7 linked regions of the Mus musculus genome follow. The protein of the gene in region 1 interacts with the protein of each later gene in a pairwise test. Links are inferred from orthologs where the notes say so. Each region holds a gene or a part of one and is shown in the gene's direction. Other genes may lie near its edges. The genes, in order: Tchp, Nab2, Cdr2, Dydc1, Krt16, Nme7 and Ndor1.

Region 1 (3,500 bases):
CCAGCACGAGTAAGGGGAAGCAGACAGGAAGCCAGCATCCACTCTTATGTACCTTTATAGGGAGTGTTTGGTATGCGGCTTATAAGTCACTGTGTGGGATTCACCTTCACTTTTTTCAGTTCTCTGGTCCCACCAATACCTGGGAACGCTATATTTTATGTTTTGGGTGGCTATGGTAACTAGTTGCAGTCTGTGTGTTTTAGCTTAGTATGTATTTGGAAACTTCTGCCCCTAGAAGGGACCCAGCCATAGCATCAGATCTTAGCTGACTCTTGGTCCACTGAGACAGGCATTTGTCCATGCCCTTCCGATTGGCTCTGATGCCCCATCTCCAGAGCTGGTGTGCAAAGGCAGCAGGATTTAACGGCAGACGGGGGTGTCATCACTGAAGAGAGAAGCTGACTTCTGTTGTATCTTGTCTAAGTGTGGATGAATGTGAATAGTGACCTCACGTCTCCTGTGTTTTCTTGATAGATTGCTGAACGACTTTTATATGAACACTGGAAGAAGAACAACCCCAAACTTCGAGAGGTGAGAACGAAGCCTCCCATTGCTTCGCCTGCGTAGGCACCACCGCGGTTTCAGATTTTGTTCCTTGTTTCTGGGTCTGGATGTGTGTTGGGCTGATACAGAGGGCAGAAGACCTGGCCAGACAGGGCTGAGCAGCGAACTCTGACAGGCAACCTGCCTTTGGGGGTATGTTCTGTGGCTTAGGAGCTCTCTGCCCAGTGGGCTGCAGAGACCTGGGCAGTGGGCTCAGGATGCTGCTTTCAGTTGGATAATATGGTGTGAGGAAAGGGCCTTCTGGATGGAGATGATTGGAAATGCTGCCCTGTGCCTCGAGGACAGAACCGAGGAAGCTATAAAGGGCCAGGTGAGACCAAGATGCCCCATGGCTAGGGAGTCCTGAAGAGATAAAGCTGGTGAGGAGATGGGAGACAGACCTGGACCAGCACTGCCTGGCCTTCCTCCAGAGGCTCTGGACCACTTTAGCAATGTGCAAGATCACTGCTGTATGTTGGGATGCTCCTCTTGGCAGCATGGTCAGCGTGAGCCAGGCAGGCTGGTGCTGTGTGTTGGGTTCCTAAGGTGAAGCCTGGTGCTCCTGGGTGGAGGAGACAGGGGCCATATCTGCATCCTGTCTTGGTTGGCACCTGTCACTGCACAGAGGTTGGCTGGAGGGCATTATGCCAGTTACTGCTACTGTCTACTCACTTCAGCAACGTTAGGACAAGTCTGACATGGTCACTTTCCGTAGCTCGTTGTGTCTAGAAATTGCCAGTAGTGATTCCAGGTGAGATGGCTCCGCAGGTAAAGGTGTTTGCTGCCAAGCCTGGTGGCCTGAATTTCATCCCAGCACCAACACGGCAAAGGACAGAACCAACTCCCACAGGTTGTCTTCTGGCCTACACATATACAACACACACACACACACACACACACACACACAATGTAAAAGATATTTAAAAAAGGAAACAAGAAAGTTAGATGGAGTAGTTCACTTTTTTCTTTCTTGTTGTTGTTTCTTTGACTGTTTTTTATGAAACAGGGTCTCATTACGTAGTCCTGGCTGTCCTGGAACTCCCTATGTAGACTGGGCTGGCTTTGAACTCACAGAAATCCACCTGCCTCTGCCTCTCTGCCTCTCTGCCTCCTCTGCCTCCTCTGCCTCCTCTGTCTCCGCCCCTGCCCCTGCCCCTGCCCCTGCCCCTGCCCCTACCCCTGCCCCTGCCCATCTCAGCACTGGGGAGGCGGAGGCAGCTGGGTCTCTGAGTTCAGGCCGGAAGTTTTGGCAAGCCAAGCTCAGGGCTGGCTCTGCTTACCCAGCGTCTCCCAGGCTCTCCTTTCAATTTGCAGTTTTGTTTGAGAAATGCTCGCTGCCCTCCCCTGGGCTCCGAGAGAGAGCATTGGCCCTTTGTGACCAGGGGTAGACAGGGCTTAGAAGCACGTGATCCTTTGGTTTCCTATTTGCTGATCATTCAGATTGGATTTTGTTGTTGATTTTTTTTTGTTTTGTTTTGTTTTTTTTTTTGTTTTTGTTTTTCGAGTCAGGGTTTCTCTGTGTAGCCCTGGCTGTCCTGGAACTCACTCTCTGGACCAGGCTAGCCTCGAACTCAGAAATCCGCCTGCCTCTACCTCCCAAGTGACGGGATTAAAGGCGTGTGCCACCACCGCCCAGCTCGTTGATTTTTATTGACGATTGTGTGTGTGAGGGGTGCAGATGTGTTGTAGCCCCTGTGTGGAAGTCAGTGATCAACCGTTGGGCGTCACTTCTCCTCCCGTCCCCCAGCCTCCCTTAGAGGCAGAGTCTGTCCTTTTCTGCTGCTAAGTTGAACTCTGGGCTAGCTGACCCTTAAATTTCTGGGCTTGTAGAGAGTCCTCTAGTCTCTGCCTCCCACCTCACCACAGAGGTGCAAGGAGCCCACACACACGCCATCCCGTCCTGCTCTTTACATGGGCAGTGCCAGGGATGGACCTCAGGTATGCAGACCACGGCTTTACACTTGACCCCTCTCGGTGGCCCTCATCAGGCTGTTTTTGTTGGGGTATCGAGTCATGGTCAGGTGGCACTGACCACAGCAAGTCACCTCAATCAGTCTCACACAAGCCCTCGGGCAAAGTAACATTTTCTTTCTCACCCTCAGCTTGAGTTGGACCTTCACAAGAAGCACGTGATAAATTCTTGGGCAACACAGAAAGAAGAAAAAAAACAGGTATGGAATGTGTGACCCTCACACACTGTCGGCACTTGTGACTCTGTCCTGTCTCCATGCTCTTGGCTAAATGAGCAGCAGGTGCCTGCCTGGCTGCTTGCTGCATGTGCAGGCTGAGGTTTGCTTTGAGCATGCTCATATGCATGTTCTTGTGTGTGTGCACACACATTCACATGTACGTGTGTGCACGTGTGTGTGGGTTCACATGTGTAGGTGTGTATGCGGGTGTGTGCATGTGTGGGGGTGATGTTTCTCAGGAGCCAGCTGTCGTTTTTTGAGAGAGGGTCTTTCAGAAGTCTGTAGCTTTCCCAAGTAGACTTCCAAGGACCCGTAGGGACCCCCTCACTTTCCACTTCCCTGGGACTAAGGCTACAAGGGTGGACTCTTTTGCCAGCTTTTTTAAATTAAAAAAAAAGTTTTTAAAATGTATTTTTCTGTGTATGGGTGCTTTCCCTGCATGGATGTGTGTGTGCCTCAAGCATGCCTGGTACCTTTGGAGGCCAGAAGAGGGTGTTGAATCCTCTGGAGCTGAAGTTATGGACGGCTTCGAGCTGCCATGTAGGTCCTGGGAATTGAACCTGGGTCCTCTGGAAGAGCAGCCACAGTCAGTGCTCTTAACCATGGAAGTGTCTCTCAGCCAGCCGCAGGTTTTTATTTTTTATTTTATTTATGTGTGTGAGTGTGTGTGTAGCACATGTGTGTAGCGTGTGTGTGTGTGTGTGTGTGTGTGTGAGTGTGTGTGTGCTGCATGTGCTGGTATCTGAGAGGTTAGGTGAGAGCATCAGA
Region 2 (4,252 bases), on another chromosome or scaffold:
AAAATAACCGGACGGGGGAGTGGGGGAGGGGCGCCGCACACATTGAAGGAAAGGCCGTCTAGTCGCGCCCTCCTTAGTAGCAAAGGGTCGGGAGAAGGACCCTGCACCTTCCTACAATCCCTAGTATGTTTGGAAGACAAAAACCTGAGCTATTGAAATCGTTCCTCCTAAAGTACCCATCCCTCTTCGGGAAACCAAGAGATCCCCCTCCTCGTCAGTCTGGAATGAATCTGGAATGTAGAACCCGCCCCGACCCACACCACCCACGCCCTGCTGGGGCAAGCCACTCACAAGTGCTGAGCAGAGGGGCGGAGCCGAGGTTTCAAACTAGAGGGACGTTTCCTCTGGCCAGTCGGCCACGCTTTCCACCCCCACCCTCCCTTTCCCCAAAGGCCTACACAACCCCCGCGTGCCCAATACCCCCCCCCCAACCCTCCTAGCCGTGGGCGTGTAATGGGAACCAGATGGGACTAGAAGAAACCGAGGGGGTTGGGCTCCTTGAAGGCGGTCCTCCACGGTGGACAGTCACGTAGACTACTCTTAGCCTTTTGCTCAGCTTCCACTTCACTGTCCAGAGAGGTTCAATAACTCATGACCTCAGAGAAGGTACCTGCCTTTTCCTGGCTTTGCTATCTAGTCGTCCAAGCAGTAAGGCCTGGCCATCAGAAAAGAGGGTGCCACGAAAACATGGTAAACCCATCCGGGCTCTACCTAGCAACCCCGACGTGCCTAACCAACGCTCAAGTAAATAGTAGATTCTAGTATAACTTACGACCAAGGTTTGAGAGCCGCCTCTTCATATTACAACCTTTAGGCCAGAGAACGGTGTTAAGATACCGAAGGGATTCCTGCGCAGCCCCGCGCTAACAGGTTTACCCTAAGGATACATCCTAGGGGAGCCGAGCAGGAGGAACAGCACACCCCGACCCTTCGCTAACTTTTCCCCCATCACTTCTAACATTCAAACTAACGGCTCGGCGCGGCCAGAGTGCGGCCAACGGGCGTCCGCGTCGTTGTTTGGACGCGTGTGCACGTACGTGCGCGTGTCTTTGTATACTTGTGCGTGGTTGTGAAACTGCGCTCTCGGCTCACAGGAGTAGGAGTGGTGCAGGGAGTAGGAATGTAGCCGGCGGGGCGCTCACGTGGGTACGTGGGCGCAGAGAGGGCCGGCTGTGCATCCGGCGTGGGCGGCAAGGAGCGACCTGCCCCGCCCGTTGGGTCCCCAAGCTCCCCCTTCCACAGCTCGGCCTCGGTCACCTCGGTCCCCAACTCAGCGCCCGATTCCTGAGTCCCCGCTCCGCCTCCACACCTCCCCCCCCCCCCCTTCCCCCAAGTCTCCTCCTCTCAGTCTCCACAGCAGCCTCTCCAAGGCTCAGGCCTGGGCTCCCACCCACCGCCTCCGGTCCCAGCCCCCGGTTCTGCCCACGCCCTCCTCCCGCCAGCCCGGCAGCCAGCGCAGCGCCGGGCCTCGCTCCCTGTGCGTCCTGCGGGGGAGGAGGCGCGGAGAGGCGGCAAGCGCAGCCGGGGAGGTGGGGGCAGAGGCACAGACAGAGGCGCGGAGGCTCCGAGAGAGAAGACGTGGAGGGAGGGACGGAGCCTGGACAGCGGTGGACCCGGGCCGCGCGCGCCAGGCAAAGAGCAGCGCGCAGCAGGCGCCGGGCACCGAGAGGGGAGGCACTGGTGATCTCTGGCCGTCCATGCACAGAGCTCCCTCTCCCACAGCGGAACAGCCACCTGGCAGAGGGGATAACACACGCCGGACCCCGCAACCCAGATTCAAGTTAGTGGGCAAAAGGAGGTGGCAGGGAGTGGAGATGGGTGGAGTTGGACTCCGGAATGGGGTCTAAAGGGTGGAGGTCGAAAAGAGGACGTGGGGAAGCGGGACGGAGGTGGGAGGTGGAGACTGATGGAAAAGGGGGTGAGTATTCGAAATAGGGGATCCTGGAAGCAAACAAAGACCCGATGAACCTGGATACGATAGAGTACTGCCTCGTTTTCCACTCCAGGTTTACTCAGTGGGCATAACCTGGCACATGAGCCCCCTGCAAAGAATGTCCCCCCAGCCAGGGGAAGCTCCAGAGCTTGATCTGTCAACAGTGTGAGGGGTGGCGGCTCTTAGCTGTCTCAGTGTGTCATTAGCAGGCATCCGGGAGAAGGTGGTTCCTTTGAGTTAAGCATCTGCGGGCCTGAAGGGGGTGTGCTTCAGGCCTCCCTTGTCCGTGAAATGACCATTCACAGGGTGAGGAGGGGTGCAGCCCCTTCCTCAAGAGACCTTCAACCTCTCCCGCACTCCCTTGTCGAAGATAAGGGTGGAAAACAAGCGAGAGGAGAGTAGGCGGGAGCCCCCAGGCGGTTTTCGCCCACAGACGCTGCTACTGTGGGAGTGTGTGGGAAGAAGGGCCCCAGAGCAGAACAATCAAGGCTTCCCTCCCCCTTTCCCAGAAGAGAGGGGCCTGCTGAATAGTAGGAAGGATCAATCAAAGGAGAGGGGGTAACTGAAGGGAACTGGGCAGCCTTTGGAAAGTTGGGACAGAGTCTAGGAAGGGTGCTTTAATCCTTGGAAGCGAAGAACAGGAGCAAGGGTCTACCAGGTTCCCTAAATGCCAAGGAAGAGGCCACACCCCTCCCTCTCAGCTACCTGGCCAAGGAGTACAGCTGCCAGCAATAGCTCTTAGTATTCTAAGTTAACTTTAATATGGGATGTTACATTAAGTAATGTTGAGGCTGCTGAGTATTTAGGGGGAAGAGGTAAGGACTTAGTTGGGAGGGAAGTGGGTCCAGCCATTTCAGGGAAGTTATGAAAAGTCTCAGGGCTCAAGATGGTGCTGCCCAGACCAGAAAGATCAAAGTAAAAGACGAGGTAAGCGTTTTTCCTGATAGCTTAGGTCGGGCAACCGGCCTTCTGTGCTCCTGGGGATCGGAGGGCACTGTCCAGGAAAGAGGGCAGTTGTTAGTGTGGGTTGGTACCCCAGCAGGGCACTCATACTCACTGCCTCTCTCCTGCCCTTTCTCCTCAGGGCAAGTGCCCCAGCCATGGCACTGCCTCGGACACTGGGTGAGCTACAGCTGTATCGGGTCCTGCAACGCGCCAACCTCCTCTCTTACTACGAGACCTTCATCCAGCAGGGAGGAGATGATGTACAGCAGCTGTGTGAGGCTGGCGAGGAGGAGTTCCTGGAAATCATGGCACTCGTGGGCATGGCCACCAAACCACTCCATGTCCGACGTCTACAGAAGGCTCTGAGAGAATGGGCCACCAATCCAGGGCTCTTCAGCCAACCAGTGCCTGCTGTGCCCGTCTCCAGCATCCCACTTTTCAAGATCTCTGAGACAGCTGGTACCCGGAAAGGGAGCATGAGCAATGGGCACGGCAGCCCAGGAGAAAAGGCGGGCAGTGCTCGAAGCTTTAGCCCCAAGAGTCCCCTCGAACTTGGAGAGAAGTTGTCGCCACTCCCTGGAGGACCTGGGGCAGGGGATCCCCGGATCTGGCCAGGCCAGAGCACTCCAGAATCTGATGTTGGAGCAGGGGGAGAAGAGGAGGCCGGGTCTCCCCCTTTCTCCCCACCTGCAGGGGGAGGAGTCTCTGAAGGGCCTGGGGTTGGGGGGGTGGCAGCTGGTGGTGCAGGGGGTGGTCCAGACCGCCTGGAACCAGAGATGGTGCGAATGGTGGTGGAGAGTGTGGAGAGGATCTTCCGGAGTTTCCCCAGGGGTGACACTGGAGAGATCGCATCCCTGTTGAAGCTGAATAAGAAGCTGGCGCGGAGCGTGGGGCACATCTTTGAGATGGACGATCATGACGCCCAGAAGGAAGAGGAGATCCGGAAGTACAGCGTCATCTACGGCCGCCTGGACTCCAAAAGGCGGGAGGGCAAACAGCTTAGCTTGCATGAGGTGAGGACCCCGGGTCCTCAAGGCTGCCCTTCACTCCTGGGGCTCAGTTCACTTGCCTCTGAGACTTCTTCCGTCTTCCACCTCTGTATGACTGTCCCCACGACCACCCAAGCTCCTTCCCCACACTCACACATACCCAACCCCTGCTGCTGCTTTACGTTCTTGTCACCCAAAGGGAAGCTGAGATAATAGCAGTGAGCCCCGCACTGCTCACATCCTAGGTGCAGGAGGCCCTGATAGGGACAATATCCCCACCCCTGTCTTTAAGTACAGGCAGTTCCTGGGTATTATTTAAAGCAGACAGTCTTTGGATGGACCTCCCAGTGGTGGTAAAGGGGAAAAAAAACAGTAGGAAAGTCAA
Region 3 (3,500 bases), on another chromosome or scaffold:
ACCTGTGTCACCATAATTGCTGGGATTTTTAAAGTAAAAGCCTTGTCCTCTGGCAACCCCAGCAAGCTAAGCTCAGTCACCTATCTTCAGTACACCATTAAAGAGACAGATGATTGGGAGGCAGAGGCAGGCGGATTTCTGCGTTCGGGGCCAGCCTGGTCTTCAGAGTAAATTCCAAGACAGGGCTATACAGAGAAACCCTGCCTCAAAAAACCAAAAAGAAAACATAAATGAAAGAAAGAAAGAGAGAGACAGATGATAGTGAAAAACAAAAGATTTATTTAACATGGCTATCCTGGGAAGAGGAACAAATATGAGAGGCCTACATCCCCATGTCCATTTAAGGGATTACTAACATGAGGTGTAGGTGACTAGAGAACAGGAGGTTTATATAACTAAGCAGTGCTGATCAAGGTGAGGTCCTGCCTATGTTGTTTCAGCTCTGGTCTGTCCTATTGGGTGGGCTGATAAGTTGTCAGTCAGAACTGTATGGAACACAGCCTTTCCTCTGGTAGGGGGCTCCTGGGGGAGATTTTAATTATTTGGGGGACAGGGCACAGGTGTCTCTTGAGATATCTATCCTGTCAGGGTGTTTACATTGCCACTATTATTGTTTTGTGTTTCTTTTTCTGTTATTACTAAGTTTCTATTCCTGGGATTGTAATATAACAAAACCTGTCTTGCTTGCACATATGTCTAAGAAGGTAATTGATAAATAAGCTTTAAAACCGAGAAGCCAGATGCGGTGACTCCTACTTGTAATCATAGCATGTGGGAAGGTGAAGGAGAATTGCTGTGACTTCCCAGGACAGTGGGGGCAAGAGGAGCAGGGCTGGAATACAATAGCGCCTGGCCCCATGTTTAAGGGAAGTATGAAACAAAACCATATTGCTGCTTTGCTTAAAAGCTGTGATAGGGCTGTGTGGCAGTGGTACATGCCTTTAATCCTAGCACTCAGGAGGCAGAGACAGGCAGATCGAGGCCAGCCTTGTCTACAAAGTGAGTTCCAGGACAGTCAGGCCTCACAGAGAAACCTTGCCTTAAAAAAACAAAAAACTAAACAAAACGGAAAAAAAAAAAAAAGAAGAAGAACAAAAAAGATGTGATAGGAATTGGGGTTGGGAGAGACAGACTTGTGTGTGAAACAAGTATCTCACCACTGGCATTAATGTTTAGCTGCCCTGAGAGTCTAGGATATAGGGGGTTGGAGAGAGAGCTCAGTCATTAAGAGCATGGCCTGCTTTTGTGGAGGATCTGGAGTAGGTTCTTAGCACTCACATCAATAGGTCACAACCACATGTCACCCCAGTTCCATGGGGTCCAGTGTTGCTTCTGACCTTCAGCGGTACATAAACTCTCATAGACACACACACACACACACACACACACACACACACACACACACAAATTCAAAGGAAACAATTTAAAGGAGTCCAGACAACAAACTTTGCTTTGCCAGTTGTGTTCACAGTAGCTTGCTAGAAATTTTGGAGGCTGCTAAGAGGCCTATCTCTTTGGCTCAAGGATTCATCTCAAAAGCACAATGTCAGGATTTGAATAAGTCTTTTACCAAAAGACTATTTGGAATTGTAAGACTGAATGGTCATTTCTGAAATAATGCCCACATCTCTATGAAATAGACTACTGTCTTTTATGTCTGACAGGGTGCATGAGAGAGTCCTTCACCTGCTAGCAGGCCCCAGGTCAACTGAATTTTAAGTAGGACTCGGATTTCTTTTAGGTCATTCTGCGTTCTACTGGGACCTGACTTGCATGTGTGGGGCTTGCTTCATTTACTTTAAGAACTGAGTTATATAAAAATTGAAGTGAGCTCATTGGACTTGCTGCGTCCTAAGAGTTGTTTGTTGTGCCAGATCTCCAGCTTGCTGCTGAACTTGGAAAGACGCTACTGGATCGGAACACAGAGTTGGAAGATTCTCTTCAGCAGATGTACACAACCAATCAGGAGCAGTTACAGGAAATCGAGGTAATTTATTCAGTGGGAGAGGTACATCCTCTGATGTGTGGCTCTCTGCTGTTGTCATCGACCTCTAAAATAGCACTTGCAGCTAGAAATAGTATTCAACTTGGAAGTAGTCTTTTTTGAGAAATTGAACCACCAAAGACACTTTCTTTAGATGTGCCTAGTAGGTAAGTATGCTCTGATTAAAAATAGTTTTCTCTTCAACCTTGGTAAAGTGTGTAAAAGTAAACAATCTAGTATTTGCCAGTGTGTAAAGCAAATGCTATGAAGTTGTACTTAGTTTTTTAAGTTTCTTTTTCTTTTAGTAATAAAATTAGTTATGCAACATGGAAGGTATACAGGAAAGCACGCACATGCAGAAACACATGCAGAAAGCATGCACATGCAGAAAGCACGTGCAGAAACACATGTGGAAAGCATGCACATGCTGAAACACATGCGGGAAAGCACATGCGGAAAGACATGCGGGAAACACATGCGGGAAAGCACATGCAGAAAGTGCATGCAGAAACACATGCGGAAAGCACATGCAGAACAGGACTGTGCAGCCCAGCCCCCCCACCGCCACCCCCCAGTTTGGGGAGAGAACTGCCCAGACTATTGACATTCCCTGCATACTCTTCTTTGGTGGCACCTCCCTCCTTCCAACTAAACACCATTCCATATTTAGAGTTAGGTAGGAAGGTTTGTTTTGATGCAGTATTTGATTTTATAATTTATTTTAACGACCTGTGCTTAAACTTAAAGAATTAGTCAAATTCTTGTTATTTATTTGAGACAGGAAGTGTTGTTCTGCAATCTGGGTCGGTTTGAGACTCAGTCTCCTGCCTCAGCCTTTACAAATTTTTGTGAAGTAAACATACCGGTGCAGCCTACACTCAGATAAGGAGTGAAAACATTATCAGTCATTCACTCACTACCCCAGTAACCAGCACCCCACCCAGACACCCTGGATTAGCCTCTGTTTGAACTTCACATGAGTGTAGTGACTTGTGCAAATTTTAACCTAACTTTTACTTCGGTTTCATTTGCTTCTGTGGATTTCGAGTGCTGAATACACGCTCTGTCCCTAAGTCTCCGGGGTCCTAAACTTTTCAAAATTTTATTGACAGTTTTCCTCACTAGACAAGTAATTAAAACATGGAGTGGGAGTGTTGTTGTTTTCTAATTTACAAAAACAATAAGGCAGGTGTGGTAATGCGTACCTTTAATCGTCAGCACCCAAACTGAAGCAGGTGGGCCTGTGAGTTTGAGGCCAGCCTGATCCACAGAGTAAGTTCCAGGACACCCAGGGCTACATAGAGAAACCCTGTCTTGAAAATTGAAAAAGATAGAGAAAGAAAAACAGTTATGATTAAGAACCAAAAAGTCAGCATTTACCCCATCTCCCAGAGAGATCTAAAATGAGTTGAAACCATTGTTGAACAAAATACTGATCGGGGATGAGGGATACTGGTCAGCTGGTGAGAACAGGAGGAGGAAGTCTCTAAGACTTACTATGAAGAACACGGGGGCG
Region 4 (3,500 bases), on another chromosome or scaffold:
GAGGTGAGAGGGGAGACCTACTGTGTGTCGTGGGACATGAACACATATCTTAGAACAGAATCTTACTTTTTGTATCAGTGGTGTCTTGGTTAGGGTTTTACTGTTGTGAACAGACACCATGACCAAGGCAACTATTATAAGGACAACATTTAATTGGGGCTGACTTACAGGTTCCAAGGTTCAGTCCATTAGCATCACGGTGGGTGTATGGCAGCATCCAGCCAGGCATGGTGCAGGAGGAGCTGAGAGTTCTATATCTTTATCTGAAAGCAGAATACTGGCTTCCAGGCAGTTAGAATGAAGGTCTCAAAGCCCATACCCACAGTGACACACCAAGTCCAACAAGGCTACACCTTCTAATAGTGCCTCTCCCCAGGTCAAGCATATACAAACCATCACAAGTGGCTAAAGTTTTAATAAGGGCACTGTCAATACCAGAATGGGCATGGTGGCATACATATGTGATCACAGTGCCTCAGGCTGGTAAGTTGTGATTCCTTCCAGGCATGCCTAAAGCTATATAGTGAGACCCTGCCTTAATAAAACAAAAGCAAAACCAAAAAACAAAAACAAACAAACAAACAAACAAAAAACCTATGGAAGTGACAGCCCAGATGGATATTTTGGTGATAAGGCACAGGTGTGCAGTGTCTTGAAACAAATTTCAAAGTGAATACAATTTGGACATTCTGTTTGTACTGGAATATTTTAAAGCTACAATGTCCTGTTATGTTGCCCATAGAATTGCTTACAAATTATGTGTATTAAAATTCCAAGTGGATTTAAAAATAGTTTTTAGTGCTTCATACTAGAATTCTCATACCATTAGCTGGCAGTAGTAGACGTGAATTCTACCAACTAAAAGTGATGAGTCTTAAGTGCTTAACTCAGAAATTTTATTTCAAAATTGAAAGAAAAGGGGCATGCTCATATTGAAGCCATGTGAAAGTAGAAACTGAATTTTGTGACTGTAGGAATTGGTGATGGACTCGGGTAAAACCCTAGCGGAGATCAGCGATCGGTACGGGGCGCCTAACTTGAGCCGGGTGGAAGAACTTGATGAGCCAATGTTATCTGATGTAAGTATCAAGATCCCAGGACAGATTGGTTTTTGTGTTGATAATGTCTAGTGTGTATGGGATTGGTTTGTAAATAATAGTTTCCTTTATGTTAAAAAGGCCAAAAGTGCAGGTGCTAATAATCAAAAAAAAATTTTTTTAAACCTTTATTTTATGTGTATGGATATTTTGCCAGTATGTCTCTATGTCTGTGTACCATACATCTGCAGTGCCAGTGGAGGCCAGAAGAGGGTGCCAGATCCCCTGGGAGAAGGTTCTGAGCTGTTCTATAGGTACTGGGATTCAAATCCAAGTCCTCTCCAACAGCCAGTGCTCTTAACTGCTGAGCCACTGCCCCAGCCCCGCTAACCAAATTCTTAACTGGTGTTCTGCCTGTGAAGGAGGCCCCACTGGCATAACTCTATTTACATGTATAGCTCTATATCTGTCTATGTTTCAATCAGTGGATAATAATCTGTATCTATATATTTTACAGTTGGAATTTGAAAGCATCAAAACTTCTTAGAAATACATGTGTAAGGGAGTGGGAGGGACTAGAATGTAAATAAATGAAAGAAATAATAATAATAATAATAATAATAATAATAATAATAATAATAAACAATAAAAACTACCAAGATCACAAAAAAGAAAAAAGAAATACATGTGCGCCGGGCGTGGTGGCACACGCCTTTAATCCCAGCACTGGGGAGGCAGAGGCAGGCACATTTCTGAGTTCGAGGCCAGCTTGGTCTACAAAGTGAGTGCCAGGACAGCCAGGGCTACACAGAGAAACTCTGTCTCGAAAAACCCAACCCCCCCCCCCAAAAAAAAGAAATACACGTGTGTAAAATAATTTTGTGAAATATGCAATCCTTAAATTCAATAGGGAAAGAACCGTTTTGGCTCTCTGGAACAAACTCTGTAAACACATACATAGTTTAGTGAGAACAAGTGTTTTTATAGTATATTATTGCACATGTGCATTTATCACGCATACTGTGATGTCCATGCCAGGCATTGTGCCAGACGTAGTGGGGAGTAAGGCAGCTTTTCACCTGCTCGAGTTTTCTGCTTAGAGGAGGAACGCGATCTGAACAGCACTAGGTGCTTATCAGGAGAATGACCAGGAAATCTACTATTTATACCCATGTGGTTTATGGCTGAAAGAAAGGTCTATGAATAACTGAATCAGATCATCAGGGGGAGTGTCTTGCCAGGAGCAAGAAGACACTTAGTTGTCAATTTGTGATACCTGGAATTGAATTTGAATCTCTCTCTCTCTCTCTCTCTCTCTCTCTCTCTCTCTCTCTCTCTCTCTTTCTTTCTTTCTTTCTTCTTGTTGTTGTTTTGAGACAGGATTTCTCTGTGTAGCCCTGGCTGTCCTGGAACTCATTCTATAGACCAGGCTGTCCTCGAACTCAGAAATACACCTGTCTCTGGCTCCCAAGTGCTGGGATTAAAGGCATGCACCACCACTGCCTGGCGAATTTGAATTTCTTCCACCAGATTAGCCGGTGGGGGCATTTTCTTGAATGCTAATTCATGTAGGAGAGCTACCGTGGGCTTGGGCTGAATAAGAAATTAGGAAAGTGAGGGAATCAGTTGGCAAGTCGTGGTCTTGTTAGGGTCTGAAAATTGCTGAAGGAAGACTCCAGATTCAAATAGTATGCAAAGACAAAGAGTGTTTATTCTGCAGAAATAACCAGTATGCATAGGGGTCAACCATTCACCAAAATGGCCAGTCCATAGGAGCTCCTGGCCCTTTTTAATGTAGGGCTAGAGGAATTTTCCAGAAGGATTAGGTAATTTCTAATGTGATTGGTAGGGCCAAAGTGGTGACATTAGTAGAATTTTGGTCGGCTGCTATGTTCTTCTATATTTGGTGAGACCTTAGAGAGTTGGTTAGGTAATCTAAGGTTTCATTGATGGGTGATGAGGATGCTCCATGGGTTGTTTTCTGATTGGCTTGTGCCAGGTGGTCTGTGGTCTGCATTTCTCTGTCATGAACGTTTAGCCACAGGATGAGATACCTAAACCATACAAGGCTGCCCAGCATAGATGGTCAACCTGAGATATTTCCCTGTTCTTGTGGTTATCTCCAGGCTGTCTTTGGATGGGGGAATTTTATGGAGCTGGTGACTTATAACCTAGTTCCTGAGACAGATAGATGTCTTTCCTTTTGAAGCCAGGCCTGGTCCTGAAATGGAGGTGACGCTGTTCTTTCAGTCTGGCCTGGTCTAGTCATCTATGGTTTTTGCTTCAGTTCTTGCCCCAGCTTCCCTCAGTGATGAGTTGTGACCTGGAAGTATAAGCAAGATGCTTCCTCCTCCTCCTTGCCACGTTGCTTTGGCTGTGGTGTTGGTCACAGCAACAGAAAGCAAGCAAGCTAGAACAGGCACGTCTTGTTACTTCATTCTGTGGGTACTGAGAGGGTGAGAC
Region 5 (4,080 bases), on another chromosome or scaffold:
CCTCTGTCACCTGTAGATTGGTGTTGGGAACAACACCCACCATGGGCCTGCTTCTGAGAAGTGTGTAGCAAGCATGACAGGTATTCCTTACCAGTGCAAAGCCCTGTGCACACTGGGCGAACAAAGATACCACGCCCAGCTTGAGCAGTTCCTGGGCAAGATGGTTTCCACATGGGAACTCTGAGACCATGAAGGGGCAGAGTGGGGGTAGGGCTGTTGACAGACAGACAGTATTAGAAGCAAGATAGAATTCCCTTCTACTGAATCCACAGCAGAGCAAGGGGGTGTCCCTGAGTGGGTGAGGGCAGGAGGTGGCATGGAGGAGCTGTGGCTGGGCATTCTCTTAGTGCAGGGGTTTTACGTTAGGAGTCAGAATGTAAAGGTTGGATCGAAAAGCAGCAAGGTTGCAGAGGGAGGATGGAGAGGCTGACCACAGGGAAAGGGTCCTGCAGGCATGCTTCTTTGTGACTTGTATGTGTCCTAAAAGAACTGAGGCCCAGAAGGATGACAAGGTCCTCTGTACTGGGCAGTGAGTGAGAGGCAGTGGGTCTGTGGCAGCATAGTGTGTGGATGCTATGGTGGACACCACTCTGGACATCCTGGTGTCTCAAAGGCAGCTTCCAAATGCAAACTAGATCCTATGGGAATGGAAACCTCTGATTTTTTAGAACTAGAAAGGACTGCAGCTACCCAGCCCAGACTTGTCCCTGTGGAGGGAGAGCAGGCACAGAGAGGGGAGGTGAAAGACTTCAGGATCCCTGTTGAACAACCTAGGTCTACCACGTGCCTTGTAGGATTCATACGACAGTATCCAACTTTGGGATGACATCAGTGAGACTCTAGCCACCAAAGGTTCTCACTGTGGGGCAGGGACTGGTTGACTCACAGCCTGAGGACGCGCCTGCCAGAGGTTGCCTGCACCTAGGGCTCCTTGTTGCTCTCCCCTCAGGCTCCTGGAACAGAAGCCCATTTCTGACTACACAACGTGAGTCAGTAGTGACTTGAATTTGTGTGTTTTTCTCTTGGCCCCACACCCACAGATCTGGGCAGGAACTCTGAGCCAGCAATGGAAGAGAGAGAGTCCACCCTGGGCTGAACAACCCAGAATAGGGTGTTAGACAGGACTGACTGAGGAAATCCCCAGGGGAACTGGAGTCAGCAGTTGGAGGTCCCGCCTTCCCCTGGTGCATATAAAAGAACCTGGAGTCTGAGGCACCCTCAGCATCTGCAGCCTCCACTGAGCAGTTCTCTCTTCTCCCTGCTCACTTGCCCACACTCTCCAGTTCCTCAGCATGGCCACCTGCAGCCGCCAGTTCACCTCCTCCAGCTCCATGAAGGGCTCCTGTGGCATCGGTGGTGGCTCTAGCCGCATGTCCTCCATCCTGGCTGGAGGATCCTGCCGGGCTCCCAGCACCTGCGGGGGCATGTCAGTTACCTCCTCTCGCTTCTCCTCTGGGGGAGTCTGTGGGATTGGAGGTGGCTATGGTGGGAGCTTCAGCAGCAGCAGTTTTGGTGGAGGACTTGGTAGTGGATTTGGTGGTCGATTTGATGGATTTGGTGGTGGTTTTGGTGCTGGTCTTGGTGGTGGTCTTGGCGGTGGTATTGGTGATGGGCTCCTGGTGGGCAGTGAGAAAGTGACCATGCAGAACCTCAATGACCGCCTGGCCACCTACCTGGACAAGGTGCGTGCCCTGGAAGAGGCCAACAGAGACCTGGAGGTGAAGATCCGGGACTGGTACCAGAGGCAGCGGCCCACTGAGATCAAAGACTACAGCCCCTACTTCAAGACCATTGAGGACCTGAAGAGCAAGGTGGGTGGCTCTGGTGGATGAGAGGTTAGAACTACAGTGGCCTTTAGCAAAGACAGTTTTAGAGAGGCTAATACATAGGCAAGAAGACTAAAGACCTTTGGAGGTTAATGGTCATACTTATCCAGAGCAGGGGCTGAGGGTCCTTTAAGAACATCCATGCCTCAGGTGGACCTGGGACCCTGACTCTTAATCTCCTGGAGGATACTTTATGCTGCAAGCTTAGCTCCTTAACTCTGTGCCCAGGATAGGGGTGATGGTAGACATGAGTGCACGTGCATATAACTTGAGCTGTGTAGAGAAGTATGTAATCAGCTGTTGGAAGCTTTAGGAGCTGGCCTGCTGGGCTTGGGGTGGCTCCTTTTGCTCTTCTCTGTCCTTGAGTCGTAGGGTCTCTGGGTGATCTGACTTCGCATCTTTTCATTTTCTCTCTAGATCATTATTGCCACCCAGGAGAATGCACAGTTCACTTTGCAGATTGACAATGCCAGGCTGGCAGCTGATGACTTCAGGACCAAGTGAGCAGCCAAAATGCTGGGCAGAGGGCAGAGGGCAGAGGGCAGAGGGCAGAGGGCAGAGGGCAGAGGGCAGAGGGCAGAGGGCAGAGGCCAGGGACACAGTAGGTCCATCTTCAGCTTTGACTTCTCTCCTTCCAGGTACGAGAATGAGCTGTTCTTGCGGCAGTCCGTGGAGGGTGACATCAATGGCCTGCGCAAGGTGCTAGATGAGCTGACCCTGTCCAGAGCTGACCTGGAAATGCAGATTGAAAACCTCAGAGAAGAGCTGGCCTTCCTGAAGAAGAACCATGAGGAGGTGTGGCTCCTGCTGGGTTTGGGGATGGAGGGCTGGTGTGGTGAGTTTCCCAGGAGATGTGACCATGCTCTTGTGATCTTTCCTAGGAGATGCTTGCCTTGAGGGGTCAGACTGGTGGGGACGTCAATGTGGAGATGGACGCAGCCCCCGGTGTGGACCTCAGCCGCATTCTGAATGAGATGAGGGACCAGTATGAGCAGATGGCAGAGAAGAACCGCAGAGATGTGGAGGCCTGGTTCCTGAGAAAGGTGGGGGCCCGCTTCCTCCCTACTCCATGACTCTTGGCCAAGTAGGCTTTGGAGAGTCTCACACCTTTCCCTCTCTTCTGTCTCAGACTGAGGAGCTGAACAAAGAGGTGGCCTCTAACAGTGATCTAATCCAGAGCAACCGCAGCGAGGTGGCTGAGCTCCGCAGGGTGTTCCAGGGCCTGGAGATTGAACTGCAGTCCCAGCTCAGCATGGTATGAAGAAGGGGCCCTAGTGCAGTCCAGTAGTCCCCATCCCTCAGGAGCCACCAGGGAATGAGACTGGAAGCGCCATGGTATCCATTATAGAGATTGAGAAATTAAAGCCTGAATGTTTGGGAAACATTTTTTCCAATATGTCTCTTCTAAATACTGCTCCAGCTGGGGTCAAGATCTATGTACCTATCTCAATAATGTGCCCAGGGTTTCAGCAGAGACAGAGGTGAGCATCACCATTGATCTTCATTCCTGTTTTCTTCCCTCACAGAAAGCATCCTTGGAGAACAGCCTAGAAGAGACCAAAGGCAGATACTGTATGCAGCTGTCCCAGATCCAGGGTTTGATCAGCAGTGTGGAGGAGCAGCTGGCTCAGCTTCGCTGCGAGATGGAGCAGCAGAGCCAGGAGTACAACATCTTGTTGGATGTGAAGACAAGGCTGGAGCAGGAGATCGCCACCTACCGCCGTCTGCTGGATGGCGAGAATATCCAGTGAGTTGACCCTGAGTCCTTGCTCACAGTACCTCTGCTTCTGCTGCTCCCTGCACATCTAATGCTGCTGTTTCTTCTTCCCTCATCCCAGCAGCTCCTCCTCACAGCACTCCTCTGGACAGTCCTATTCTTCTCGAGAAGGTAAGGCTCCTGAGACCAACAGCTTGACTCTGCAGAGTCAGGGCTAAGGCCTTCCTTAAGAGTCCTAGGACTCCCTTTCCCTTCTTGGAAGCTTGCTTAGCTCCCAGAATCCACCTTACCTTTTTCTTTTTCTTTTGCAGTCTTCTCCTCATCCTCCCGCCAGCCCCGGTCCATCCTCAAGGAGCAAGGTTCAACCAGCTTCAGCCAGAGCCAAAGTCAGAGTTCCAGGGACTAATGTTTTGCCTAGAGCCTCCTCACCCACAACTGCCTCTCAAGCTGAGGGCTTGGGGCAGGACCCTGTTTTCTTTGCGCATTCCCCATCTGTCTCCCCTACCCTCTCATGGTGGTAGGCTAATAAAGCTTTTT
Region 6 (3,500 bases), on another chromosome or scaffold:
CTTGTTCCCTGTGAGAACTCCAATCCTGAGTAACAGAGGCAGGAGCTCCCTGGAGCTCTCTGGCCAGCTGACCCAACTTAAAGCAAACTTCAGGTTCAGTGAGAGAGCCTGTGTTAAGACAATAATGTGAGAAATGACTGAAGAAGACATCAGGCAACCTCCTATATCATGTATGTTTGTAGGGATGCACACTTGCATATAACACACATATATAGAAGTAGATATATAGAGAGACCCCAAAATGAAGTAGGACAACTGTTTTTTGGGATTAATCAATATTTGATAAGTAGTTACAGATAAATGGTTATCATAGTCATAAATATTACGGTTAAAAGTTGGTATCTGTATAAAATGTCAAATTAAAGAGGCTCTAAGAGGGTCCCTTTCTTTGCATCACTTCATTGGCAATCACTTTAAAAAGTCAGCTCAGTTGGGGTTGGAGCCTAGAGAGAAGGCTCAGTTAAGGGTGCTAGCTGCCCTTGTAGGTCCCAAGTTTGGTTCCCGGCACCTACACCGAGCCGCTCACAGCAACTGTAACTCCAGCTGCTGGCAAGCCAACAGTGACTTCTGCACCTTCACTCACATGTACCTACCCACAGAAAGGGAGACACACATGAATACACATCTCTTAAAGGAAATACAATTTTTTTTAGTGATTGGGATGTGTACATAAAAAGAAATATGAGAATCTGTCTCTGTCACTCATAGCTGGTGAGTTACTGAAATAACTTGGTCTATTTAGGATATTCTAAAATATATATTTTAATTACAAACTTTTATCACTAGATTGGATTGGAAATAAAGCTTCACAGTATAAAATATAATTTATATACGTAGTTATAAAGTAATAGGATATAGCTGTCTTTTGTAAAATCAATTGGAGACTTTTCTCTGTAAGGCGTACGTTCTTCATAAGTATTCTTACTGTGTCTGTTTCTAGCATGATGTAAAGAATCGTCGCACCTTCTTAAAGCGGACCAAGTATGAGGACCTGCGCCTGGAAGATCTATTTATAGGCAACAAAGTCAATGTGTTTTCTCGACAGCTGGTGTTGATTGACTATGGGGACCAATACACAGCCCGCCAGCTGGGCAGCAGGAAAGAGAAGTAAGAACAGCCGGGCCATCTTTTTCCATTGAAACCTTGCCTGTGACTTTGGCCACTAACTTCTGATTTCCTCTCCTCGGTCATGTTTTCACAACATAGTTTTTCCAGCGACCTAATATAATTTTATAACATTAAAAATATTTTGGTACTGATTCAGGGATTGGTTCCTAATTAGAATATTGAAGCAATATCTGTAGTCTTAGGAGGTGACTGTTTGGATGGGTGGGTGGCAGAGATAAAGCTCTTACACATTCTATCTGCTTTTTATATTTGTCACTAAAACCTAAGACTATTTGAGCATAAGGTTTTCTTCCTAAGCATAAGCATGATGCTGGTACGAATCACGGTAACCCGGGAGACGGTGAAGTTAGTTCTTGCAAAACTGAAGGCTTTGTGGGTTTGTTCTGTCTTGATAAAACTGAATTAAATTATTACCCCAATTAGATGAACTGGGGAGAAATGCTAATCAAAGGAGTGAGTATAGAGAAAGATCCAAAGGTGGGAAATCCTGTCTTAAGTTAGAACAACTATTTGCTATCCTGCTTGTGTAAGTTGGGGGCTAAAACTTATAAAAGTTTAATTACTACAACAATGATCTGAATTATTATGGTAACAGTAGATATGCAGAAGAAGTAAGGAGTGTACGTGATTAATAGAAATGCAGCAGTGCATGCCAGGAAGCAGCTCAGTTGGGGCAGTGCTTGTCTAGCAAAGATGAAGCCCAAAGGCCTGAGACCTAGCCCCGTGTAAAACTGGAGGTGGTGGCACGTTTCTGTCATGCCAGCATGTGGGAAGTGGAGGTAGAAAGATCAGAAGTTCAAGATCATATTAGTTTACAGAGGGAGTCAAGGGCCAGCTTGGGTTACATGTGACCCTGTCTCAAAAAAAAAAAACAAAAAAACAAAAAAAACAAAAAAGACAAAAAAACAAAAAAACAAAAAAACCAAATAACAAAGATCAAAGACAGTTCAAGTTAAGAATGGAAGTTCTAGAAACTTTGGGTGAGATGATGATGAGAAGCTGCCTCAGGGCAATTTAACAGAAGAGATAGGCAAGGTAACAGAGAATAGACCCTGCCCCAAGGAGAGAGCGATCAGAACATCAGAAATCACAAAGCAAGAAGTAGCTTGCTCCAGGGAATTTTATTCAGCTATAGAGAGTGAAATTCTAACATCTGCAAGGAAGTGGACAGACCTGGAGATCATTACATTAAGTGAAAGAAGCCAGATTACTGAAAGATATCAAGTGGGTTTTTTTTTTAAATATGTGGAATATAGATAGATGGATAGGTGGGTGGGTGGATTGATGGATGGATGGATAGATAGATAGATAGATAGATAGATAGAGTATAGAAAGGGGACCATGGAGGGAAGAAGTTTAAAGAGAGTGGGGAGTTGGGGAGTGAGAAATTGTAATAAAATATACACGTCATAAAAGCTAACAGATTACTGGGTGAAGGGAAAGGGACTAACAAGAAGTGAGTCAGGATTAGGGAGGGCGGTGGGGTGTGAAAAATAGCAGACTATAACAAAAATATCACCATGAATCACATTATTTTATATATTAGCTAAAAATAAATTTTTAAAAGACAATTATGTCAACTATAATGTGTGGGCAAACAAAAAGGACAACCCAGTGGGACGGAGTGGGCAGTGCACTGCTCCACTGGGGCAGATCCCTGCAGGAGGACCTGGGGCAGGGTGGGACAGAAGCCTCATCTGAAAGGGGACAGAGGAAGGGACTGGGTAAGCTCGGTCTGTGAGTGAAGGTCAAGGAGGTACATTATGAAAATGGAACACTGAAGCTCATTGCTCTGCGCAACCACTAAGATAAATTTAAATACCAAAACCCAGAAATTCGGGACTGGATAGGACCTGGGGACGATTCTTCTCTTGCTGTCTTACTCATTTCCGTGTCTTCTGCATCCCTGAGCAAATCTCTTTACGCATTGCAAGAGCAAGGTTAATTTCACCTCCGAGTTTTGCAGCCTTCATTCCGTGACTTTTTTGGCTCAATGCTTTGGGTCCCTGCAGTAGAACACATTATGAAGGATATTGAGTGGTAGAGGAAGCTGTTTACCTCAGGGCACAAAAGGGTCTGCAGTCCTAACAGCCCTTCTAAGCTGTGACCTAAAGACCTCCCAGTAGCTGCACCACACACACACACACACACACACACACACACACACACACACACACACTGCACACTCTCTCGCACACATGCAGATACCCCCACATGTACCTTTTTATTATTCTTTCCTTACTGCTTGCCACCCTGATTTTCTTTAGTTTTGGTTTAGAAAGAAACAGAACCAATTGGAGATGCAGCTAAAAAGCAAGCTTTAAAGAAAAACCAAAAACCAAAACCAAAAATGGACTTAATAATGATTCTCT
Region 7 (3,500 bases), on another chromosome or scaffold:
CTCCCTACTGGTGAGGGACTCTGAGTAAAACTGAAGACTGGCTGAAAAAACTGGGACTGGGTAGGGCGTGTGTAGATGGGGGCTGCCTCTCTACCAGGGACTGTCCCTCCTGGGGTTGGTAGTAGGCAGGAGTGCTTTAGCAGGGCAGTGCCATCACTGTGTCCATAGGCTCATCCCAGGAGGCTACAGATCCTTGTGGCTGTGGTAAAGTACCAGACTCGTCTGAAGGAGCCCCGCCATGGTCTCTGCTCCTCCTGGCTAGCATCCCTGAATCCTGGGCAAGGTAAATCCATAGTTCTGGGGCTCGGGGTTGGGAGAGAGTATAGCCTCAAGTGCCCATCTTCCCCTGTTCCTGCTACCCCAGGAGCTCAAGCACTTAGCACCTTAGCACTGTCTTTTGACCTCCTACATGCCATTTCCCTTCTGCAGCAGGACCTGTCCGGGTGCCTCTGTGGGTACGTCCTGGGAGCCTCGTGTTCCCAAAAACACCAGACACACCCATTATCATGGTGGGGGCTGGAACTGGTGTGGCCCCCTTCCGAGCAGCCATTCAGGAACGAGTGGCTCATGGCCAAACTGGTGAGTACTGGAGCTCCAAAGCAGTGTGACCTGACCACTGAGCCTGGTCTAGCTGAATTTCTGCATCCAGACGGGGACCGCCCTATGTACCCCAGGAAACTTCTTGTTCTTTGGCTGCCGCCAGCGGGATCAGGACTTCTACTGGCAGACTGAATGGCAGAAGCTAGAGCAGAAGGGCTGGCTGACCCTGGTTACAGCCTTCTCCCGGGAGCAGGTGAGTATATTCAAGTTAGATAGGACAGGAGTTGGGATGGCTGAAACTTAGCCTCTGACACCTGCAGGAGCAGAAGGTATATGTGCAGCACCGGCTTCGAGAGCTGGGGCCACTTGTCTGGGAGCTGCTGGATGGCCAAGGTGCCTACTTCTACCTAGCAGGGTGAGCAAACTTGGGAATGTCGGGGGGTGGACCAGCCTTTAGGGAAGGGTAGTAGTAAGGGTTGGGAATCGGGATCACTGAGCTTTCTGAGGCCTGCCTTTCCAGCAATGCTAAATATTTGCCTACGGATGTTTCGGAAGCCCTTATGTCCATTTTTCAAGAAGAAGGACGACTCTCCACTGCAGATGCATCTGCCTACCTTGCTAGGCTCCAGCAGACACTGCGCTTCCAGACTGAAACCTGGGCCTGAGGAGCCACTTGCTAGCTCACACTCACATTAACAGCTGCATTGGGTAGCCTGCTGGAGTCTAGAAGGCCCATTGTTACCTCTTGCCTTCTAATCCCAGAACACTGGGTAGACCCACAGTTTCGCTTTTTTGGTCCAGCTGACCAGGAGGGCAGTCCTTGCGTACAGCCAAACTCAGTGGAACCCAGTGTCCCATACGTAGGCCCAGCCCCGGTGCAGCTAGAACTCCTGGTTTTCTCTCAGACCCCTTCATTCTGCCCCAAATCTGCATTTATAGTCCCTACCACCAAGGGCCTGCTAAGCCCTCCAAAGGACATAGAGCTGTGCGGGCTGCACTGCCCGTCTGACCCCGTGCTATTCCCATTAGTCCCATAACACCTGTGCAGCTCAGCTCAGTTGAAAAGCCACCAGGGACCAAGTCTCCTGAGCATTGGGAATGGGCAAATCTGTCTGTCTGCAGGTCCATAAACATGAGTTAACTGCCTGGGTAGCCGCTCACTTCTCTTTTATTGCTTCTAGATTTGAGAGTGGTGGTTGGGACATGGATTATCTGCATCTGCTAGTGGTGGGCAAAGAGCCCTCCAGGGCATGAGCACAGGCTTGTACTGACAGTTTAGCCAAGCTAGTCCCCTTCTCTGATGGCCACACAACTCAGCCAAGCTCATATACCCTTCTCTCATGGCCAAGCAGAGAGGGCTTAGAGAGCTATTTATTTGGAAGTCCCAGCCAAGAGCCAGCATGCACTATTCTTTCCAAAGAACTGAAAGAATGATCAGGTGGAGGGGGTGTGATTTGTGTTGGCCCGCCCATGGGCAGGGCCTCCACTGCTGGGAAGGAAACCCTGTTGGAGCAGTCAGACAGGTCCAAGGGCAGCTGGGCGCTAAGGAACCTCGGTTCTGTCTGTCAGCTTGTGGAAAACAGGGACCAGACCAACACCACTCTTAGGCCTCAGATACCAAGAGTTGACATGCTGCGGGGACCCAAGTGAAGCTTACTTCCAGTGAGGTCAGCAAGCCGAAAGGGTTATCTAGAGGTTAGTGCTCAGGTGGATGGGTGGAGGCCAAGCTCTGCCTGGCTCCTGAGGGCCACACCTTCATATCTACAACAATCCCTGCAGTCATCCTGGAGTCTCCGTCTACGCATCCTGACCTCTGTTCTAGTGGTAACCTGGGACCTAATGACACCAGCTCTGTGTCTACTAGTTCACCCGGTGCTTCTCTGGGTCCTGAGCTCTTGGACCCACTGTGCCAGCTACCAGCAGATGGAGAGGATGATCTCAGGGCCCCTCTGGGTGCCAGAACTCCAGACAGTAAACCGGAACTGGAGGCCAGAGACCCATCCGCTGCCAGGGCCCTGGAGTCAACTGTGGAAGAGCAGGAAGGTGAGGGGCAGGTTGTGGAGGAGGAGGAATGTCCCATCTGTGCTGAGCCTTATGGGCCTAGTGAGCACCACCTGACCCTGCTAAACTGTGGTCACAGCCTGTGTGTGGGCTGCCTACACCAGCTGTTAGGCATGACCCCCAGAGCTGACCTGGGCCGTGTGTGCTGTCCACTGTGTCGTCAGAAGACACCTATGCTAGAGTGGGAGATCTGTCAGCTGCAGGAGGAACTGCTTCGAGCTGATGGACCCCAGCGCCCAATGCGGACTGCATCCGTCACAGCCCTGCATCCTGGCCCTTGGCCCTGGGGTCCCTTAGAGCACCGCTACCAGCTGCGCTTCCTGGCAGGGCCTGTGGGAGGGCGAAGCTGTCTCCCCTTCCTGCCCTGCCCTCCCAGCCTAGGCACCTGGTTGTGGGCACTACGGGAACGTGGCCCCTGTGCCCGCCGCTTGTCACTGCTGAGCCTACTGGTCCTTGAACTGCTCGGGCTGGTGGTCATCTTCATGCCGCTCCTTTTACTAGGGGTGCTCTTCATGCTGCTAGACCGTTCCACCCACTAAGCAGAGCCCAGAATGCTGGCCAAGCTTTGAAGTCCATGCACGCTTGGATTCTGGTAATCAGCAAAGACTTGTTATCACCAATACCAAGACTATACATGCCTAAGAGCCTACGCCAGCCAGAGTGCTTACACACCCTTGCAGCCTAGATATTAGCTAAAGCCAAGGACACAAGGACAGCCTCTGAAGGAGCTTGGCCTGGCAGAAAGAGTTGTGAAAAGAACCCTATGTGCTTGCCATGGGCGGTCATCTCACTGGCCACAGGCAGAAGCTGGGCTATACCGCCAGCTCGTAGTCCAGCTGGTGAGAGTGGACACAAATGTGTGATTCCAACAGTGATTCTGTTTATCCTGAGATCTGTTC

What was found.
Region 2: the proteins of Tchp (region 1) and Nab2 interact in binary tests that used the Homo sapiens proteins (3 or more experiments, as listed by UniProt). The two-hybrid records come from large-scale screens. The link is inferred for Mus musculus from reciprocal best matches to the Homo sapiens genes TCHP and NAB2.
Region 3: the proteins of Tchp (region 1) and Cdr2 interact in binary tests that used the Homo sapiens proteins (3 or more experiments, as listed by UniProt). The two-hybrid records come from large-scale screens. The link is inferred for Mus musculus from reciprocal best matches to the Homo sapiens genes TCHP and CDR2.
Region 4: the proteins of Tchp (region 1) and Dydc1 interact in binary tests that used the Homo sapiens proteins (3 or more experiments, as listed by UniProt). The two-hybrid records come from large-scale screens. The link is inferred for Mus musculus from reciprocal best matches to the Homo sapiens genes TCHP and DYDC1.
Region 5: the proteins of Tchp (region 1) and Krt16 interact in binary tests that used the Homo sapiens proteins (3 or more experiments, as listed by UniProt). The link is inferred for Mus musculus from reciprocal best matches to the Homo sapiens genes TCHP and KRT16.
Region 6: the proteins of Tchp (region 1) and Nme7 interact in binary tests that used the Homo sapiens proteins (3 or more experiments, as listed by UniProt). The two-hybrid records come from large-scale screens. The link is inferred for Mus musculus from reciprocal best matches to the Homo sapiens genes TCHP and NME7.
Region 7: the proteins of Tchp (region 1) and Ndor1 interact in binary tests that used the Homo sapiens proteins (3 or more experiments, as listed by UniProt). The two-hybrid records come from large-scale screens. The link is inferred for Mus musculus from reciprocal best matches to the Homo sapiens genes TCHP and NDOR1.

Annotation. Positions count from the first base shown.
Region 1 is NC_000071.6:114,710,779-114,714,278, forward strand, and holds part of Tchp (trichoplein keratin filament-binding protein), read left to right. Parts: intron 1-474; coding exon 475-531; intron 532-2,645; coding exon 2,646-2,714; intron 2,715-3,500. UniProt on the Homo sapiens protein: Tumor suppressor which has the ability to inhibit cell growth and be pro-apoptotic during cell stress. Inhibits cell growth in bladder and prostate cancer cells by a down-regulation of HSPB1 by inhibiting its phosphorylation.
Region 2 is NC_000076.6:127,663,904-127,668,155, reverse strand, and holds the start of Nab2 (NGFI-A-binding protein 2), read left to right. Parts: upstream 1-1,452; 5' UTR 1,453-1,697; coding exon 1,698-1,780; intron 1,781-3,017; coding exon 3,018-3,891; intron 3,892-4,252. UniProt on the Homo sapiens protein: Acts as a transcriptional repressor for zinc finger transcription factors EGR1 and EGR2. Isoform 2 lacks repression ability.
Region 3 is NC_000073.6:120,968,813-120,972,312, reverse strand, and holds part of Cdr2 (cerebellar degeneration-related protein 2), read left to right. Parts: intron 1-1,874; coding exon 1,875-1,987; intron 1,988-3,500.
Region 4 is NC_000080.6:41,086,411-41,089,910, forward strand, and holds part of Dydc1 (DPY30 domain-containing protein 1), read left to right. Parts: coding exon 1-3; intron 4-974; coding exon 975-1,079; intron 1,080-3,500. UniProt on the Homo sapiens protein: Functions as part of axonemal radial spoke complexes that play an important part in the motility of sperm and cilia. Plays a crucial role during acrosome biogenesis.
Region 5 is NC_000077.6:100,246,103-100,250,182, reverse strand, and holds the start of Krt16 (keratin, type I cytoskeletal 16), read left to right. Parts: upstream 1-1,280; 5' UTR 1,281-1,292; coding exon 1,293-1,811; intron 1,812-2,243; coding exon 2,244-2,326; intron 2,327-2,464; coding exon 2,465-2,621; intron 2,622-2,707; coding exon 2,708-2,869; intron 2,870-2,955; coding exon 2,956-3,081; intron 3,082-3,352; coding exon 3,353-3,573; intron 3,574-3,664; coding exon of another isoform or gene 3,665-3,667; coding exon 3,668-3,714; intron 3,715-3,854; coding exon 3,855-3,949; 3' UTR 3,950-4,080. UniProt on the Homo sapiens protein: Epidermis-specific type I keratin that plays a key role in skin. Acts as a regulator of innate immunity in response to skin barrier breach: required for some inflammatory checkpoint for the skin barrier maintenance.
Region 6 is NC_000067.6:164,331,672-164,335,171, forward strand, and holds part of Nme7 (nucleoside diphosphate kinase 7), read left to right. Parts: intron 1-940; coding exon 941-1,107; intron 1,108-3,500. UniProt on the Homo sapiens protein: Possesses an intrinsic kinase activity. Displays 3'-5' exonuclease activity with a preference for single-stranded DNA. Does not seem to have nucleoside diphosphate kinase activity.
Region 7 is NC_000068.7:25,245,415-25,248,914, reverse strand, and holds part of Ndor1 (NADPH-dependent diflavin oxidoreductase 1), read left to right. Parts: coding exon 1-10; intron 11-168; coding exon 169-283; intron 284-429; coding exon 430-579; intron 580-674; coding exon 675-793; exon of another isoform or gene 794-860; coding exon 861-955; intron 956-1,060; coding exon 1,061-1,205; 3' UTR 1,206-2,109; coding exon of another isoform or gene 2,110-2,206; 3' UTR 2,207-2,319; coding exon of another isoform or gene 2,320-2,658; 3' UTR 2,659-2,680; coding exon of another isoform or gene 2,681-2,731; 3' UTR 2,732-2,765; coding exon of another isoform or gene 2,766-3,140; 3' UTR 3,141-3,500. UniProt on the Homo sapiens protein: NADPH-dependent reductase which is a central component of the cytosolic iron-sulfur (Fe-S) protein assembly (CIA) machinery.